Linked DNA regions of Schizosaccharomyces pombe. The protein of the gene in region 1 interacts with the protein of each later gene in a pairwise test. Each region holds a gene or a part of one and is shown in the gene's direction. Other genes may lie near its edges.

Region 1 (5,310 bases):
ACGAAAAACGATGCAATATCTAAATTACTTTTAGGGCACCCCTTATCCTTGCTATGTTAAATCTGTCATGGATGTAATGCTATTGCTATTGCTATTGCTATTGCCAGTGTAATAATAAACCGCGGAGCTGAGTCAGCACTAATAGCGTCATACCCTTATCTCTGCACTTATCGTATCGCTCGCCATCTTTTTTATAATTTTACGAGCGGAGAAATTTTTTGATGCAAAAGATATTTAACGAATCAATACATTGTCTTCTAATCCAATAACTACGTATTCTAAGGATGAATACTTTATAATGGGATTCTATGAGAATATTTATTTCGTTTATATAATCTTATGAAGCATTTCAAATAAGCATAACATGTATCTATTCTCTTGTTCGAAAACCGAGCCAAGGGATCAGGGGTCATTTCTAATGAATCAGGGGACTTCTTTTTCTTTCTCAATTCTTATTTTGTTTCCCTTTGTTGATAATGTAAAAGCCTCGTTTAATTGAGTACAATCAGCAAGTGAGGAATCGGTTTATTTCGCTTTCCTTTTCATAGAAAAAGGGACTCGTCCATCAATGTCCTGGCGTCGTTTATTCAAACTTTGTCATTCGGTGCTTTTTAACAGGCAATTTCCGCTTTTGCTGGTCGATCTGTATGCGTCAAAAGTTTTGTCTGGTCCGGCATCACACGATGTTGACAAAAAAATCATCATCCACTGCAAGGTGTAGTGGGTACACAAAGTTGGGTGTGTATTCCCAAATTCCAATGCATTTTTATAATATGCGATAAGCTCCCATAGCTAATCACTTGTCCTTTAACGTTGAAACTACTGTACACAAAGGTAGACCGCAGCACACACACTTGAGCATTCAAAGTAAGAGCGTCTGCTGGATATTCTTATAGCAAGGTCAATTGTGTTGAATGCATAAAGAGCATCTCTTTTCTGAATGGTTCAACGAGCATATTGCACAGTGGATTCCAATAAAAAAAATAAAGGAAACGTAAACGATCGAAAAAAAAATGCTTTTTAAAAAATCCCGTGTCAGCGTTTATACCAAGGAAATATCGCATAGTGATCCTTTTGCTCTACATACTCCACGCATGCACCATCGATACACTACCAAGAACCGCAGCAACTCAGCCTTATTACTGTGTCATCCATCCCATGTGTTTATTCTTGCTGTGCCCACAGCACGCTTGCACAAACGTATGTGGGACGGTCGTTACGTCTGCGATGATGACTGCCTAGGGAGCCCCGCGCGCTTTAGCCGGTTCAGGAAGAGTTTGGGATAATGCAGTACGATGGTATGCACTATACTAGATTTAACTTTGCAACGTTTCGCAATCGGTGAACAGCATCATCAAGTCAAATCAAGCACCGTAAAGGAGAGAGATCAGTACGAAAGATCCCTTTTCTGGAGGGTAGTGAAAAAGACAGTAATATGCGGGTTTCGCATTGTTTTTGAGGGTTCATTAATTGAGAAGTTTTTGCTGCAATTAACGTTAAAAAATATGTCGAATTTGCATTGCCGATCTCCTGCCGTTCATCGTTTAACCAACGTTGCGTAAGCTAACACGCCCTTGTGAGCATCGGCAAATAGCCACATGGAAGCCTCGAGGGTGTCATATCCACCACACCTCAAAATTTGCAACTCTCCAACAACCAACAACATTGTTGAAAAGGTGAAGATTTTTTGTAAATACGACCGTTTGGTCATATATTAAACGAGAAGATGCCGTCTTCGAACGGATCCTCCGACTTTGTATGTTGGTTCCTTTTTCCGATGAATTTTTTATAATTATAAAATTTCACGTTTCGTGATAAAACTATGTTTTCTCATACTAACGTTGTTGAATTAGGTGCGAAAACTCTTCAACATGTTGGAAGAACCCGAATATAGGCATATCCTGCGCTGGAGCGATTCTGGGGATTCTTTTATTGTGTTGGATGTAAGAAATCCTTGAAAATTTGTTTGCTGGATGTAAAAGAGAGAAGAAAGGAAGAATGAGTTATCATTATATTTATCGCCGCCATTGTTGTTATTTAACCAGAGAAAGCATTCTACTTTTATTGTTTATCCTCGAAAAGCTAGTAAAAGAGGGGAGATTTTTTTTGAAGGTTTGCTAAAAAATAATTTTTTTACTATTCTTGATTTGTTTCCTTTTTCTTTCTGATTACAACTTGAATTAAAAAGGATTGACAATGATGGGAAAGGAATCTTTTGAGGCAGCAAGAGATTCCTATCGCAACAATCGGGTTGTTTTATTACAAAAATCGCTTTTCTTTTTGAAATAAAACAATTCTATTCGTTGTTTTCTTTTTAGTATTACCAATGTTACGCTGAAAAACGTCCAGTTTGCCCGTAAACCTGAGTCGTCGAATTTGCTTTGTTTCCATACCCTAGTACTTTGTCCTTTTTTTTCGCATTGCATCTCGATTTTTTCGAACAGACTTATTCCTTGTCATCATCTTTTTTGAGTAATAGTTTTTACATCTCTTAGAGACCAATTTTATTTTTAGGCCTTACCTTCTTTTTAAACTTTGGCTTTTGACTAGCTATTCTTCTAGTCTTATGTTTTTTTTTCTCTTACGTTTGCATTTTTCTCCTTTCTTTGTCACTCTAATCTACTTTTCCGCATTCAAAATTCCTTTTTCCCCTTTCCCCTTTGTTTCCCTGAGTTTATCACTAACTTACTGCTTTTTAGACCAACGAGTTTACAAAGACCATTCTGCCTCGCCACTTCAAACATAGTAACTTTGCAAGTTTTGTCCGACAACTCAACAAGTATGAGATATTTTTATTTATTTATTTTTTTTTTACACTTGCTAATCGTCTAGATATGATTTTCACAAAGTACGGCACGAAGAAGGCGCGCCGAGTATATATGGTGAAGGGGTATGTCATATGGGTTAAGGATTTAGGGGCTTCATACTTGTTGAATAGGTTTGAGAAACAAACTTGTCTTCATTCCATCATACTTGTAAAAAAGCCATCCCTCCTTTTAGAATTTCTATTATACTAATCATTCTCTTCTTTAGGCTTGGGAGTTTCGTCATGACGACTTTCAGCTTCATCATAAGGACCTGCTCGACAATATTAAGCGAAAGGCTCCGTCCAAGCGCAATTTAGCTAACGAGAACACTGCTCCAGTTATTGAAAACCTAAAACAGCAGGTGGATTCTATATTAGACTTTCAAAAATTACTTGATAGAAATCTTTCGGGTCTTGCCACAAGTTACCAAACGATACTTCTTAAAATGTTTGAACTCAAGCGGGGGATTGAGTCTAGAGATTTGCTTATGAGTAGCATCATATCTTACCTCTGCGATTTAGAGGGATCTACTCAACGGCAAGCTAATCCCGGAGCCATGTTTGTTCCCTCTCATCCTCTCCAGGAGTTATTAAATGCATACCAAGCGTTAGCGAAGGGCCAAGTTGCAACTACTTCTCCACAACAGATACCAAATCAAATTCAACAGGCTTCCGCTGCTACTACCGCTTCTTCAAAGATGACTGTTGACACCAATCTTGGCACAGCACAACCTTCTTTGTATAATACTCCTTCATCTGATTATGAACTGGCAAATCAGGAAAAGCCGGCAGACTCCATGGCCTCTGCCGCCTCTCTAAATACCCCTTTATCATCTAATGACCATTCTTTGAATCCACACGCCCATGGCTCATATCCGATGTACGAAAAATTTCAACCGATTCAGCATCCAAATCCAGGAAGCTTTACCACCCATCTTGACTCCAATGCTTCCATGGCAAAGTCATTTTCTCAAATTTCAAACGATTCCCTTGCCAAAGCTAGTTCAGTAGCAACGTCCATGTCTCAAATGGGCGCTGCTGTTCCAACTACTGGCTTGTGGAAGCGGCAACCAAGGATTTTACTTGTCGAAGATGATGAACTTTCTCGTAGAATGACTATCAAATTTTTAACTTCATTTGATTGCCAGGTCGATGTAGCTGTCGATGGAATTGGTGCCGTAAATAAAGCTAATGCTGGTGGATTCGATCTCATCTTAATGGACTTTATACTTCCTAATTTGGATGGACTGTCTGTAACCTGTTTAATTCGTCAATACGATCATAACACACCGATTTTGGCTATAACTTCAAATATATCGATGAATGATGCAGTTACCTACTTTAATCATGGTGTAACAGATCTATTAGTTAAGCCATTTACAAAGTTGACTCTACTTCAACTTTTAAAAAAGCAACTTTTGAATCTTTTACAAGCGGATAACTCAATTAATATGTCTGATGTTCCCTCCACGAAAGAAGCTAAAGACGATAAGGCTCCTGTGACATTTTACTTAGAGAATGATGCTCCTATGTATCCTCAACAGATGTTACAGGATCCCATTCAAGCAGACTTACAGCATCCACATTGATGGAAAAGTCTTAATGTTATATATTTCTTATTTTTACTATCAGGTCTCTTTTACTTTTGTTTTATATAAAAAACTATCTATCACTTCTGTTTGATTTAGTTAAAGGTTTAATCTTTGGTCTATGTATCTATGTTCTCTTTGGGGTTCAAGTTAAGGCTTTCTTTTCGAAGAAAGGCTTTTCATATCCCATGACTAGTTGTTTAAATTCCACAAATTCCAAACAGTGTCGGAATTGTCTTTCATATCAACTACAACTAGAAACATGTACAGAAGAGACATAATCAATATAACTTTTCAGTTTTTGCATTGTATTTTAGCCACTATTTTCTTCGGTTTGCTCAAATTATATTATCTTCATTCGCTTGTTGTATTTCTTACATTTCAGCTAAAAATATTGAATTCGTCCAACTGATATTATCGTAAATAACTATGCGTGTAATTAACAGAATAGTGCTGGATTTTAACAACGCGCCCTGTAGACCAAAATTTTATTTTTCTTCTCTATCGTATTATTATTTGCTAGAAAATAATAGCCAGCTAAATTATGAGTGACCCTTTTTTTTTGAGTAGACAGAAACCACTTTCATAACACTGTTTTAAGTCAGAGTTCAGGATTTGTAAGGGAACTATTATTCTGACCCTTCTTCACTCTCGCTTTCACTTTCAGCAGTATTCAACCAGTCGACAAATTGTTTGCCACCGGCATCACGAAGCGCAGCCAATTCTCCTTCGCTAGAGCGGGGATCAGAATACCATTCTTGAATGGCATTCTCTTCAGCAATTTCTAATTGGTAGAAATATCCCAAAAGTTGTAAAAAGTGCCGAGTCATACTCAAACGGACACAGTACTTCTGCAGCGTTAATACGTTGTCAACTTGCTCTTCATGGCTAAATGTCAGTTTTGCAAGCAATGGA
Region 2 (6,267 bases), on another chromosome or scaffold:
GGCTGGTTTCTGCTCAATCCATTAGTGGTACCGGTGCCTTGTGTATAGCAGCTAATTTCCTTGCTTCATTTTATCCATCAAAGACTATTTACGTATCTGACCCTACTTGGGGAAATCACAAGAATGTATTTTCTCGAGCTGGCTTGACCGTTAAGTCCTACAAGTATTATGATCCTGCTACTCGTGGGTTGGACATTAAAGGCATGTTGTCCGATTTAACTTCAGCTCCTGATGGCTCTATTATATTATTGCATGCTTGTGCTCACAATCCAACTGGTGTAGATCCTACGAAAGCTCAGTGGGATGATATCCTCAAAACAATGCAAAAGAAAAACCATTTTGCTCTTTTAGACATGGCTTACCAAGGATTTGCCAGTGGTGATTTTGCTCGTGATGCTTATGCCACTCGTCTGTTCGCCTCCAGCAATGTCCCCATGTTACTCTGCCAATCCTTTGCTAAAAACATGGGTCTATATGGTGAACGTGCTGGCTGCTTTAGCATTTTAGCCAACGATGCTGAGGAAGCCGCTCGTATCGAAAGCCAAACTAAGATTCTCATTCGTGCTTTGTATTCCAACCCTCCCGTCAATGGGGCCAGAATTGCCAACCATATATTGAGCAACCCTGCACTTCGTGAACAGTGGGCTGGTGAAGTTGTAGGCATGTCCGAACGTCTTAAGAGTATGCGTAAGGCTCTTCGCAACATCCTTGAAAAGGACCTTAAGAATAAACACAGCTGGAAGCATATCACTGACCAAATTGGTATGTTTTGTTATACTGGTTTAAATCCCCAGCAAGTTGATGTTTTGGCTAAACAGTATCACATTTACCTCACTAAGAATGGTCGTATTAGCATCTCCGGTCTCAACACTTCCAATGTAAGATACTTTGCCGAAGCTATCAATGCCGTTACTTCGAATTAGTCGGTGGTGAAATTGAAGTGAAAAGATTTTGGTTTATTATATAGACAGATGGATTTTTGATTGATTCTTTGTTCTGAATCTTTTTTGTTCTTCTTTCTGTTTTTATTTTATTATACATACATATAGACAGACTCAAACACACATATACATATACATATATTTGTATACATTTAATTTTTTTTCCCTTTTCATTTCTCCGAAACCATGAGAAGACGTATTTAGTAACCTAATTGTCTCGGCTTATTTTTTTTTCCTTATACTTTCGCTTTGAGGTGAATAACTACAGTTTTGCTTCCAAATAGATGGCATGGTCTGTTTTTAAATGAATGGATTTTGGATCTAAAAATTGACTAAATATTGATTCGTTTTCGAAATAGTATGCTTTTCGTTTGTCTATCTTCATTTATTTCCATACTTTGTTTCTGTAGATGTTTGTCTAGTAGTTCACTTACTTCATACTTTAGATTGCCTCTAGTTAACCCAAAATTTGGCACATTTTACTATCCTCTCTCATATACATATTAAATCCCACTTTTTCGTTGGAAAACTATCAATTATCTTTCCCATTGCATTTGTCATATGTTGGGATTTCCCAAGTTCATCAAACTTCTGAGATGTACGAAATAAGTGAGGTAGGAATGAAATTTGTGCAAAGCTTTTAATTATTTCTAAAAATAGGAGAATATCGCTGGAAATTGGCACCTTTCCAATGACTAGGATAGGCCCTATGTAGTGATATCGAAATAAATATCTGCAAAAAGAGTATCATTCTTCCCTCCCAATGTGCAATGCTACAGCCATCAGGAATTGCTGCGCTTATTAGGAAATGGCCGAAAATGCCAAAGATGGTGGGAAACTGTTCTTCCATCTCCAGTTCGTCTTTTTTTTCTACACTGACTGATATGGAGGAATCATTGAAATTCGGGGTATAGTGAGACGTAGCGTCATTATATTAATATACTTTATCGTTTTGGGTGGTTGTGTATCGGTACATTTGACTGCTTTATTACGTTGCATGGCGTCACTCCCAAGTGTGAGTTTTGCAAACAATTCTTTCGCGGCATTTACCTACTTTCCGTCTCCCATTTACTACATTAGAATATCTAAAAATCAGACATAAGCACAGGCAAAACCATAGTCTCTACTCTCTGCCTTACCCTTGTTGCATTTGAACTTAATTATAGAGAGAGCACTTAACAATCTTGTGAGGATTGGTTTTCTGTCTTTTGAATTGATACGAAAACAATAATATCGCCTTTTTAGTAGAGCTTGATAATTTTAGAACTTAGCAGAAGCTGAAGGCAAGTTTGTGTGGCGTCTAAAACTTGGCATCAAAGTTTCGAACACGCAAAAAAAGCTCCAAAACCGTATTGACTCTTTTCCATTAGAATCGTTGTTGAAGGAGATTTATCCACAAATCCTATTTAGTATTTGTGGGTTGTGTGGTAAAGCCATTTTCTTCTTTTGGTAATAGCCCTTGTACTGTACTACAGGTTAGTGAAACTGTTGATTATTTCATTTTGCTGGCATACCACACATTATTTTTATAATTTGTTTGTGTTGTCGACGCCTCTTTCAATAACTCACATTTCCTCGCTTTAATTTCAAATCGTTGTTAAAAAAGGAAAGTCTTAAATCTGATACAATATTCTGTATCGATTGCTACATTTTACTGTTTGCAAAGTAATACTGCTGATAAAATTTAGCTGAGCTTCTCCATTCGCTCTTACTTTAAACCCTTTTCTTTTTTTTTTGGATTTTCTTTTAATTATTTTCTAAAAAATGAGTGTATATCGTGATAACATGTATATGAAATACGACCGAAACTTCGAAAATCGTGTCGCCCGAAGAAATGGACAGGCGCGTAACGCTAGTCTTGCTAAGACTCTTCACGATTCTGGCATAGCTGAACGTGCACGCTCTCCTTCAGGGTCAGCGATCCCCCATGCTTATCGGGTTATGAATGGTTCTGGAGCGAATGACACTTCTTTACCACTGACCTCAAATCCTGCTTATGTTGCTCTAACGTCACGTATATCTTCGAGCAAAAGTGAAAACAATCAACAATTGGCTGCTAATGAGACGGCTGGCGCACCTGAAGGCACGGAGGAGACCGTTGACATCTCCAATTCTATTAGCGATGACCATGCGAATGCCAAAAATCTTCCCGCTGCTTCAGTCAAAGCTTTGGTTGGGGCTGGTGTCTTGTCGGATGAACTTTCAGTAATTGCTTACGATATGTCATTTGAGGATGAACTCATCCAAGACAAACAGCTCATTGATCATTCCGTTTTTGACCAGTTGCTTGAGATGGATGATGATGATGAGCATGAATTTAGTAAGAGTATTGTTTGGAATTATTTTGAGCAGGCAGAGACTACCATTGCCGACCTCCAAAAGGCCCTAGAGGCTAAGGATTTGAAGAAGCTTTCCTCGTTGGGGCATTTCCTTAAAGGATCTTCAGCTGTATTGGGCCTTACAAAAATGAGAAAGGTTTGTGAACGTATCCAAAATTACGGATCTCTACGCAGTCGTGATGGTGTAATGAAATTACCGAGCGAGGAAATTGCATTGGATTTGATTAGCAAATCTCTGTCGGTTGTGAACGACTTTTATAAGGATGCTCGAGCTTACTTACTTGACTTTTATGAAAAAAATTCTTCTACATAAAAGTCTCAACATGTCAAAGTACCTAGCCTTTCTTTCCCCCTTTTTATGACATTTATACCAGTTGTCTATCAAAGTCTTCTAGTTTTCCCAAATTTACGATAACTTGAAGTTAGTGATGAATTTCCAGCTTTTACGGTTTGAATAGTTATATTTATTATGACGCCCACACTTTTCCCGTACTTTGAAGTGCTTCCCTCTATCAAAGCAAATAGAGTGAAGTAATACAAGTCCTCAATTTAGTTGAGTATCCCCTATCCAAAACTATCAAAAACAGTCTATTTTTTGCTTTACCTCGTCTACCTTTTTGATATTGAGATATGCAACAGGCAGGGTTTTCCTGCGGTTTTTTTTTACGGAACATTTTTGAAGCTCTCGATATCAAACTTTATGTATTTAATAAGCTGCTTTCTCGAAAAAAAAAATTCTTGTTTGTTACGTTCTTACGGTCGTGGCATGTATTTATACCTTTATTTATCTAGTTTATTTACGAAATTGTCTATTGTGATTGTTTATCACAAGCCCAATCCCCTAATGTTGAAGGACTTTAAACCTTAGATAATATGTTTACAACCGGTCGTTTAAGATGCTGAATTTGGTTAATTCAAATTACTCTTCAACACTCATTTATCCCCACGATTGGCGACAGATTTTTTTTTTTTTCGAGTTTGATTTGCTTTGTTGTTGTTTTTTTATGTTTTTCCTAAGTTTTTAAACTGTGTTTTCAAATTTTCTTTAACCTAATGTTAATCATTACATGTACCTGATTCTCCTTTGTTTACCTTTTTTATTATTCAACTTGAGATGTTGATGGATTTTTTATGATTTTGGTGATAACCTTCACGTCCTTGTACATTACTGAGTTGTGAATTATGGTGGACTTCAAATATTGATTGACAAACCTTGCAAAAATTTTAAGTATATTGTTCTTGCTTTTTGTAATTATGATTGCTTTTGTCATTATCTCGCTTTAGAGAGATTATTTAAAGGATTAATGAAAACACCTTAAAATGGTCATTACATACAATAATTATTTATGATTTGATTCATTCAGCGTTTAATATGTGTACTTTCAAGTGTGATCGAACTGACTTTTAGCGTCACTTACTAAATGTTTTTGTTGTTGTGGGTTAAAGATCGAAAACAATTCTTCGTTGTAGATTGTTCGTTTTTGAGAATAAAAACTAAGAAAACACGTTTGCGATGAAATGAAATTAACGAACTTCTTTTTTTTGTTAATCGAAGTATAGTTTGTTCGATTCCGCAAAGACAAGAGAACATTGAAATATTGATTTGTGTGAAACAGCGAAATCAAGTATACCTCGTTAATTAGCGCGGCAAGTAGGATCCTGCGGATTCATAGACGTTCCTTTGGAGGCGAAGCGTTATTAGGATTTTCATACCCGTTGTGCAGCTTTTCGTCGCCTTGTTTTTCTAGAATGATGCGGGATGAATTGAATATGCGGAAGCTACAGATGTGCAAAAACTAGGCATAAACCTCGCTTGCCTTCTTAGTTTGCTAGGCAATGTGAAGCAAATGGTCATAATCCAAGTGATACGCCTGACAGAGACAATTTAATTTGTAAATTATTTTTATCATTGTTTTTATCCTCTGATGTTACAATGTATTCATTGATATCGCATTTCGGCATTCCGATGTTCAACCCCGGTATGCGAGAAGGTGTTGGCCGCTTTTTTCGGTATCAAAGTTGAAATTTTAGATGACTAATCTTATGTTAATTAAAGATAAGAGGACGAAGTTTGCTGAAATCAAGTACAGGTTTTGATTGACTAGGCATCCTCACTAATGGTGTGAGAGAAATCTGTTAGGATATGCAAGCTGTCATTTCTCACTTTTTCAATGTTGGAAACCTGTACACAGACAATGCATACTCTTTTCTATATCAATTTGCAAACTAGATGGCAGCTCATTGTTCTGTGAATAATCAGATTAAGGTACTGAACAACGGAATATGGATTGCAATGTTCTTTGAAGATCTAGAAGGGGAAACCATTTTTGTTAGTTAAAAGTTTTATTTTTTTGTTTTAAGTTACTAGTTATTGTCTTTATTTTCTTATTTTCCTTTCTCTGTGCACTAATATTAAATGATTTTACTCTTACTATTTACCAATTCTCTTGAGCAGATGAAGAGAGGAATATTTTAAAAAATTAGTGTAATCCACGATAACGTACAATTTGCTTTTTCAGAAATCACACACGATTTCGTTAGTAAGTTTAGCCGAACTTTAGAGTTGTGCCTTATACAGATATCTAGAGATCATTTCTGTATAGCGAGCGACCTTTAGTACGACACACTTAGCAAAGTCAATGACGTTTCAGTCAAACAAGTGACTTATATAGGATTCATACGTGCATCCCATTTCATCGTTTGCCAACATGTCCCTCGCTTGGAAAAATGAGTTATTGAAGCTTTTAAAAGAAAATGTCGACTCCAGTGGAGTTATTCATCCCGAATACTTCCAGCTGGCAACTTTACCCACTGGTAATGAAATTTACCCCAGAAATCGTACTGTAGCTATTCGAGGATTTGTCGGTACAGGATGGCATAAACCACGTCCCGATGATGTGCTAGCTACAGATTTATTGGTATTCTCTACGGATATTGCTTCTCACAAAGCTGCTGAGATTGCTGAGCAGCAAAAAAATACATTCCCC

Evidence for each region. The genes of interacting proteins can lie anywhere in the genome.
Region 2: the proteins of prr1 (region 1) and mpr1 interact in a two-hybrid assay, tested with the Schizosaccharomyces pombe proteins (one study listed by BioGRID).

Annotation. Positions count from the first base shown.
Region 1 is NC_003424.3:3,664,281-3,669,590, forward strand, and holds prr1 (stress-responsive DNA-binding transcription factor Prr1), read left to right. Parts: upstream 1-1,651; 5' UTR 1,652-1,726; coding exon 1,727-1,756; intron 1,757-1,853; coding exon 1,854-1,943; intron 1,944-2,699; coding exon 2,700-2,779; intron 2,780-2,832; coding exon 2,833-2,890; intron 2,891-3,033; coding exon 3,034-4,395; 3' UTR 4,396-4,807; downstream 4,808-5,310. Other genes in the region: translation initiation factor eIF2B epsilon subunit tif225, read right to left, coding at 5,025-5,310. UniProt on the Schizosaccharomyces pombe protein: Involved in oxidative stress. Transcription factor that acts upon trr1 and ctt1.
Region 2 is NC_003423.3:1,201,052-1,207,318, forward strand, and holds mpr1 (histidine-containing response regulator phosphotransferase Mpr1), read left to right. Parts: upstream 1-2,000; 5' UTR 2,001-2,705; coding exon 2,706-3,593; 3' UTR 3,594-5,722; downstream 5,723-6,267. Other genes in the region: aspartate aminotransferase Maa1, read left to right, coding at 1-923; SPOM_SPBC725.03 (pyridoxamine 5'-phosphate oxidase), read left to right, coding at 5,989-6,267. UniProt on the Schizosaccharomyces pombe protein: Binds to the msc4 response regulator which is part of a multistep phosphorelay system that transmits oxidative stress signals to the spc1 MAPK cascade.